2 linked regions of the Arabidopsis thaliana genome follow. The protein of the gene in region 2 interacts with the protein of the main gene of each other region in a pairwise test. Each region holds a gene or a part of one and is shown on either strand. Other genes may lie near its edges. The genes, in order: AT1G09250 and BNQ3.

Region 1 (3,904 bases), on a different chromosome or scaffold from region 2:
TATCAGCCGTATTAAGAAAACTAGAAAAGGACAAAAGATGCAGTATGTCGATAGATGACATTTGGATAACCTATCTATCTCAGTTGACAAATATCTTTGAAATACAACCATAAATTAGTTTTTTTTAAGTTTCATCTAACATGTACTTAAAATATATATATTTAAAACCTATAGCACATCCTCCAAGCTCGATCCAAGGACTTATCAAGATGGATTTTGTGAGAAATCTTCTTATATAACTTGGAAGACACAATGACCCACAAACATGTTGCCATTTAATTTGATATACAACAAAAAGGTGTGAATGCTTTTGAAAGACATATTGGGTGTTAAAAGAAAGAGCACACGTGGGGAGTCTTAAAGAGGGAAAAAAGATGTTCCAAGAGACTCATTTCTCAATCTTATTGTTTCCTCTTCTTTTGGTTCCATTTTTGTGGTCCTTTTTGCTCACCACTTCTTTCAATGTTATTCCTAGTGGATTTCTTCTGACAACTAACTTTTACTAACTTGTATTTTATACCATAATCATCAATTTTTCATAATGTCAGTTCTCTTGAAGAGTCGTATGCTACTCCTTGTTATCATAATTAATGTTGACATTCAAGTAAATGTTTTTTTCTAATCAGTTTGAAAGATTTTGAGGGCATTTTGAGCAAAAAATACACTTTTCGACATAAACTTCAACGTCGGAAAAAGTCTTTGAGAATCACATGGAGTCCATTGGCCCCAAAATTAAGGTGGGTGTCCTCAACACGTTACACGCACATGCTCATTTTTGAATTGCTTCAACTTGCAAATTATTTGTTCTTCTCCTTACTTTTTAGTTTCTTTAATTTGTAGGTCTAATTTTTTTTTAAAGCGTTAAACAATTTTTGGAATCGACATTAGTTGGCATTTTGTTGTTGTTATTGTTTAGATAACTTTGATTATCTAACGAAAAAACAAAGAAAGATCAAAATGGATACAAAAAAAAAGAAGTGATGATGTATACAAATAAAATACATGAATTTAATAAATTAAAATCGCGTCGACGAGAAAAAAAAAACACTTGAAGCCAAAATAAAGGGGTAAAAAGGTAAAAGAAAAGCTAATTAACAACTGACAAACTAACTGCCGCCGTTAAGTTCCGGTCAACGTCGTCCGTGGTGCGGCTGCGGTTAAAAGTTCGGCGAGAGCCTCCATGGCTCGAACCTGCATCTCTAACGCTGCGATGTAATCGGTCGCTTCATCTAAAAGATTCGGTACAGAGACTTTCCGGCAACCAGGAACCAAACGGCCAAGAATCTTCAGTTTTCTCTCAACCGCCGGTAACTTAATCCGATTCGTCTCCGTGAGACCTTTTCTCGATTTACAATTTCCCGTTGACTTTTTCGCCTTTCTATGTTTCTTCAGCTTCGCTCGGACGCGACTCGCTAAAATCGCTCTGCTCCACCGAGTCGTACCACGAGCGGACGCAGCTAGAACTCGATCCGCCGTATCACGTATCTCCCTCGCCGCGCCGGAGACGAGTTTATCGGTCTCGTTGTTGCTGGTGGTGGAAGATCTCTGACGAACTCGGCGTAAAGCTTCGACGAGCTTACAAGCGTAGATCTGTTGCACACGATTCGTTTTCCATCTCTTCAAGCTTTCTTCGTTGACACGTCGTGCCTCTATCTCCGCCTCCGCCGTCTCTGATATCCTCGGCTTCTTTCTTCGAGACGATTCACCTGTGTTTTCGATGCTCGGGAACAGAGACTCCACCATTAAATCCGATTTAAAACCAGAGATTCAAAGAAACCGATGATAAAAGGCAAAAACAACAATCTCTTCTTCTTCTTCAGATTCTGAGAGTCTCTCTTTCTCTCTCTCTCTCTCTCAATGTGACTAGTTAGAAACAAGAGAAGATGAATGGAGAGAGATCAGTTTTTATATCTCTGCCAATCGCCAGCGGAGCTATAACACTTAATTCCACTTTTGCCCTTATTTACCGGTATTTGTTTTTTGTGTTTTTTTTCATTAGTTAAAAATCTTTTGTTTTTAATCTTTTGTCATTCATGTGATTGTTCTTTATCTTTTTGCCTTGGCATGAAGCTCCAAAATTATGCCCTTTAATAGTCAAAATGCTGAGCGATGCAAATATATTTTCTATGTTTATACATTGTAACTCCAAAGGTCAAAGAATATAGACGATTGATATATATATTTTTGATAAGTTGAGAAATAAAGGGTGATGTTGAATCTTTTGTTTCAAGTGGTTGCGGTAGAATTCATGTGGTTTTATTTTATTTTAAAGGTAAGCAGAGAAAGGGAAAAAAGCACTCAGAGAGTGAAATAAGCAAAAGAGAAAAGAAAATTTACCAAAAAAGCATTCCATGTGACCATTTTCATGGCGCTGCCATATGAGAAAAAAGGATCTCTTTTGTGTGACCTTTACTCATTTGTAATGTTGTGGACAATTTTCCGCCAACAAATTCTCTCCTTTGCCGTTTCCCACTATTTTGTGTGTGATTTGTATGTTTCTAATTGATATCTCAATCTAAAGAGTAATGAGTAGTCTACAAAGGAAAAACAAAAATAAAATTCAAGAGTAATGAGTAGTATATGTATATTGTCTTCATACCATAGTTTAGAAAATATTTTTTCTTGACAAAATTCGATCCTTCGTAACGGTGAATGTCATTGTCAATTTGTCATATATCACGAGGGAATTATTAGTTCCTACACCAAGTTCTAAATCTTAAACAAACCATGATCTAAATTCTATAGTAACTAATGTAAAACATTTACTTTTCTTGATCAATTCGTTTTTGGCACCTTGCTATGGAAAACACGAGAGAAATGTTTTAGCAATTATGAGTTGACACTAAATATTATAAGTGCATTTTTGTAGTAAATGTGTGATTTATACCAAAAAAAACAAGAAAAAAAAAAAGAAGATCTTGAAGAGAATCTAAAAGGGCCCTTTTCTCTGTAATTGGCCAGAGAGGCTTGCCCCCTTAATTGAGACATCGTCTCCATGTCTCTTCCTTTTCTTAATATTTTAACCACGCTCAAATATTTCTTCTCCGACTCTCTTAATAATACTCACCAAATTTTTAAACTGGAACCCATTGATATATGTGGTCGTAAGCTTTTCTTGTGCGTGTATATTTTTTAGATTCTAAAATATCACAAGATTCACAGCGCACATATGACACCAAAAAAAAAAAACACATGTCTATATGCATCAGACCAATTATGGAATCTCCCAAGGAACAAAAACATGCTCATTCGTGAATACAGTATCCAAGGTGGGGAAGTTAAAGACTAGATCTTACTCAGGAATTCATAAACACTGAGGTCAAAATCGAACAACATCACACAAAGGAAACAGCTCTCTTGGATCAAGTAACTTGTCTTTGCTATGTGGTTGCGTTGCTTTTCAGTTATTACCAGGAGCCTTCTGTACCTACTGTTGGGTTTGTGAACGCCTTGGCCCCTTTATAAAGTTTTAAATCTAGTCCATTAAGGCTCATTTATCGTTAGACTTACTGGGCCTGTATAGGCCCGAGGACAGATGTTATTTTGTTATGTTGAAATCGGGAGTTCAAATTTTCGAAATCTTCCGTATTACAAGATACACTTGTCCTGTTAAAATAGTACACTTGCAAGATTTTTTTGTTATATCTTAAATATTTTGGTTTTAGTTAGATGTTTGTGGATCACCTATGATTTGTAAGGTTGAATCCATTGGGATTGGTCAACCATACTTTTTTCGGCAATACCTATATATTAATAATTCATGTTTGTGTTTCAATTTAACTAATTTTAGTTAAGGCCATAAGAAAATACTAACACACTAATAACTATATATAATGCATTATTGATGTCATCAAATTCAAACTGGAGTCTCAAATTACTCTTAAATGAATCGTTTTATAATTTT
Region 2 (3,889 bases):
GTTTTCGTTTTTTTTCTTTTCTATTAAAATATTTGTTGCGTCTTGTGCCTTTTGCCGTGAAGGAGAAGTGTCCACATTCACACGATTACACTAATCCCACTTTTGTTTTTGTCACGATTACATTAAACTCATTAATCCCACGTTATTAACAAATACACGAACTTGTAAATATAAAAGGCTATTTTTTGTCAACTATTAAAGGCTATCTGATTTCTTATTTGCAATAAATACATTTATTAAACAGCATCTCGAAATTTAATTTTTTACACGCAAGGCCACTAATTTTGTGGACTATTTATTTACTGAAAACTGAATATGCAGTAAATCTCTACGTGCGGGCGCTGGCTGTTTTCGGGAAAGTGGAAGGCCGGTCGTTTTTACGTAGTAAACTGCTCTTGTAATAGAAGTGGGTTAGAACTGGAATGACCAAATTACCCCTTGGTTCTATACTTCTATATATAGATATCAACGATTCAACGTTGCTGCTGATCGAGACGTTGAATGGTATTCTTGTTACCAGAAATGGAAACCGTGGGGGCTTATTAGCATATTTTATTCCTTCTTAAAATATACTTTATACCATTAAGCGAAATTAACGACTAATTTTGATCAGAAAATTTGACTTGCGTTAGTTTAGTTCCTATCGATATTAACTACAAAAACACCGTTATAATCGTATATGCATGACACTAGAAAACATTGTTCTTCTCGTAAATTCAAAATTTAATCAATGTTTTTGCTACTAAAATGTGATGGATTTGGTTGGAATGCCTAGAATCTAAGAAATACCTAAGCCCATATATTGAGTGTGTTGCCTTAAATAATGTGAACGTAAACCCAAACCATTTGCTTCGTTCAACAACTGACAAAAACAAAACCCTACATATATTAAAAATAAAACATTGCATAATTAACAGGGGACACAAGCTGCCAGACATTATAAATACAATAAGAAGGGGAATTAAAACTGAGAAGACATTTTTTCAAAAAAAAGAAAAGAAAAAAATATCCTTCGTTTATTGCACTAATTCTACTGCATAAGCAAACTTCGGATTAGTGCAGCTTGAGCTGAATCAGTTGATTCCAAAAGTTGAGACAATCTTTCACTAAGATCATCCACTTCTTTGCTCAAGTTCCTTATGTAACTGCATGTCTCTTGTAATACCCTTGATGCTGAAACCTGAAAGTAACCAATATATTGATAAGAAGAAGGATCTTATATATAATTAACAATTTAATTATCATGCATGCAGCATGCTATTTATTGTCGATTAGTTTGGAAATTAAAATTTAGCACTCGTCACAAAATGCATCACAATCAAATGAATCAATACATACATGCAATATTGGAATATATGGAATATTAGTTTAATATTTATTTATAATTCTAACTAAAGACTCTCGTTTGTTTGCAACAACAGAAAGATGAAAGAATTACTGTTAAACTTTGATGGAGGATATATATTAGTTATTATTTTTATTTTTTTTAAACCGGAGGTTTGTTCTTTTAAGTACCCACTACTAATCCAAGGAAGATTTAAAAAGGTTTAGAAAAGATTTAAGGTTTGAAAGAGGAAATTAAATTTTTTAAAAGGAATCATAATGAAAAATTGATTAGAACGTTGTACCTTTCCAGAGCGTCTGTTGTTAGCAAGTTCGGGGAGAAGCCGATGAAGCTGGAGGACAAGATCGTTGATTTGTTCATCCGTGATCATGGAAGCTCCAGTTTGTCTTGAACGTGATTTTCTGCTAGACATTATGTAATATATATGATATGGTAGAGTATAGCTAGAGATTTATAAATCTTAGGGTTCACTAATTAACTTTAATCAATATTTGTGAGTGCAAGTATTTTCTTTGTATGTTATTTATATTATAAGAGAAAAAAGAAGGAAGAATTGAATACAGAAGTGGAAGAGTCTACTGCAACTGCTTAAAATAAACATGAATGGTTTCAACTTGTGTTTATATAGAAGATTTTTCTCCGTTTTTGGCTCTACATGTGTATGCATGGAATAATATAATTGCAAAATTATATATGTTTTTTCTAGCATGTTTCCTAAAAACTGTAATATTTTTAAGTATAGTTAAATTAATTGGTGAATTACTAGATTAACACTCTGACTAGTAGTCTTTAACGAAAGGGAAAAAAAACACTCTGAATAGTATTATGCAAATCTCAATGGGTAAGAATTTATATTTTATCTAAAATTTATAGATATATTTGTGCAATAAAAAAACGCTTATCTTATTTGCAAGAACATCTTTGTTGTTAACGGTAGAAAATTTTCGTCTCGTTATGTTTTTAAACTTATATAGGAAAAACATTTCCATTTATCCAATTACAATTCATTATAAAATAGAAGATTAAAATTCATTTTAATTCCACATTATTTTTTTTGCTAATCCAGTTTTCATTTTTCTATATATGTTTCACTAGTAACCAACTTCAGAACAAGAGTGATCTTGTGCCATTTTAGTAAATCATTTAAAAGGTGATGTTTGATTATAGTTGGAGGATACCTTCTTTCATATTTTTTTTTGGCACGAATAGAGTATACTAAAACATTTTGGGTTTATAAGACAAAGAGAATATGTATGCATGTTTGTCATACTTATCGGCAAACTTGCATAAATTCTGGAATTGGTGATAATACAAACTTTGGTACTAGACTACAAATTATGATTAGTTTGTATGATATCTTAATTAATCCAAGAACTGTAAAATTAGGATTAACTCCTGGAAATGTTAATCAACTTCTATAGTTATATTGCAAGATTAATTTATTTATATAGTTACATACTTGATCTAGTACATATACTAATTTGAGCATGTACAGACAAACATAAATAATTAAGTTGATTTAGTTTTATTAGAGATGAAATTAAACAATTCTAATATCAGTCTTTTCCATTTTGAGTGTACCTTAGTTTGGTCTTTCTTCCATTTTTATTTGTATACCATGGGCATCAATCAGTTGATTAATATATTGCAAATTTGGAATAATCAATCAAGCGCTCGATTATTTATCCATTTAGATCTGACAATTTTATCACTATATCTCAAGAATTTCTAATCAATGGAAATGATTCCTATAAATAATTTTATAGTCTACAGACAGAAATTTGTCTAGGTATCAAACTATATGGTAACCCGTCTCTCTTCCCATCATGTAATATCTTTATATTTAGATAATAAATAACATTCGTTTTATTGAAGTAATTAATATTTTCTCCAAAAAATTCCATTAGTTAATTATGGTTACACCAACAATTGAGAAAAAATATATTTTTAATTTAATTCATTAAATAAATTGTAAACTAAAAGTTTGTTTTTTAATTAAGAAGTTAGAAGAGAAAATTGGACTTTGATTCCAAATTCCGAACACGTATTGTCTATTTTTAAATCGTTATTAGATTTAATCTAGTAATAGATTTTTTTTTCATATGTGGATTGTTTTACATTTTTTTATTATTTTATTTTACATTTTCATTTGATTTTATTTACAGTTTTAAGAAAATAAACGATTTCTTTTTTGTATTATTCAAAAAAATTGCTTTCTTTTTATGTTTACACCAGAATACTTAAGTTATGAATCTTTAGATCAAAAAACAAAATAAAAAATCACATGGACTCATGACTCATTAGTATATCATTACCCGATAAAATATGTTTAATCATTTGTGTAACAATTATTAAAATTGTTTTTTTTTTTTTTTGATAAGGTGAAACAATAAATAAAAGTTATACATGTACATTACATCCGTATATGAGTGTTCATAATTTTGGAAATAAATTAGAGACAATTCCTCTTTTGACAGATCAAAACAAGCACATCTTGCAAACTATGTGATTAAATTAAATTTTTTGGTCGTCTCAACTTGTGTG

The links.
Region 1: the proteins of BNQ3 (region 2) and AT1G09250 interact in binary tests that used the Arabidopsis thaliana proteins (3 or more experiments, as listed by UniProt).

The regions. Positions count from the first base shown.
Region 1 is NC_003070.9:2,987,348-2,991,251, reverse strand, and holds AT1G09250 (basic helix-loop-helix (bHLH) DNA-binding superfamily protein), read right to left. Parts: upstream 2,112-3,904; 5' UTR 1,744-2,111; coding exon 1,120-1,743; 3' UTR 825-1,119; downstream 1-824. Other genes in the region: AT1G09245 (Plant self-incompatibility protein S1 family), read left to right, coding at 3,885-3,904. UniProt on the Arabidopsis thaliana protein: Atypical bHLH transcription factor probably unable to bind DNA. Negatively regulates brassinosteroid signaling.
Region 2 is NC_003074.8:17,588,597-17,592,485, reverse strand, and holds BNQ3 (BANQUO 3), read right to left. Parts: upstream 1,943-3,889; 5' UTR 1,758-1,942; coding exon 1,629-1,757; intron 1,181-1,628; coding exon 1,031-1,180; 3' UTR 816-1,030; downstream 1-815. UniProt on the Arabidopsis thaliana protein: Atypical and probable non DNA-binding bHLH transcription factor that integrates multiple signaling pathways to regulate cell elongation and plant development.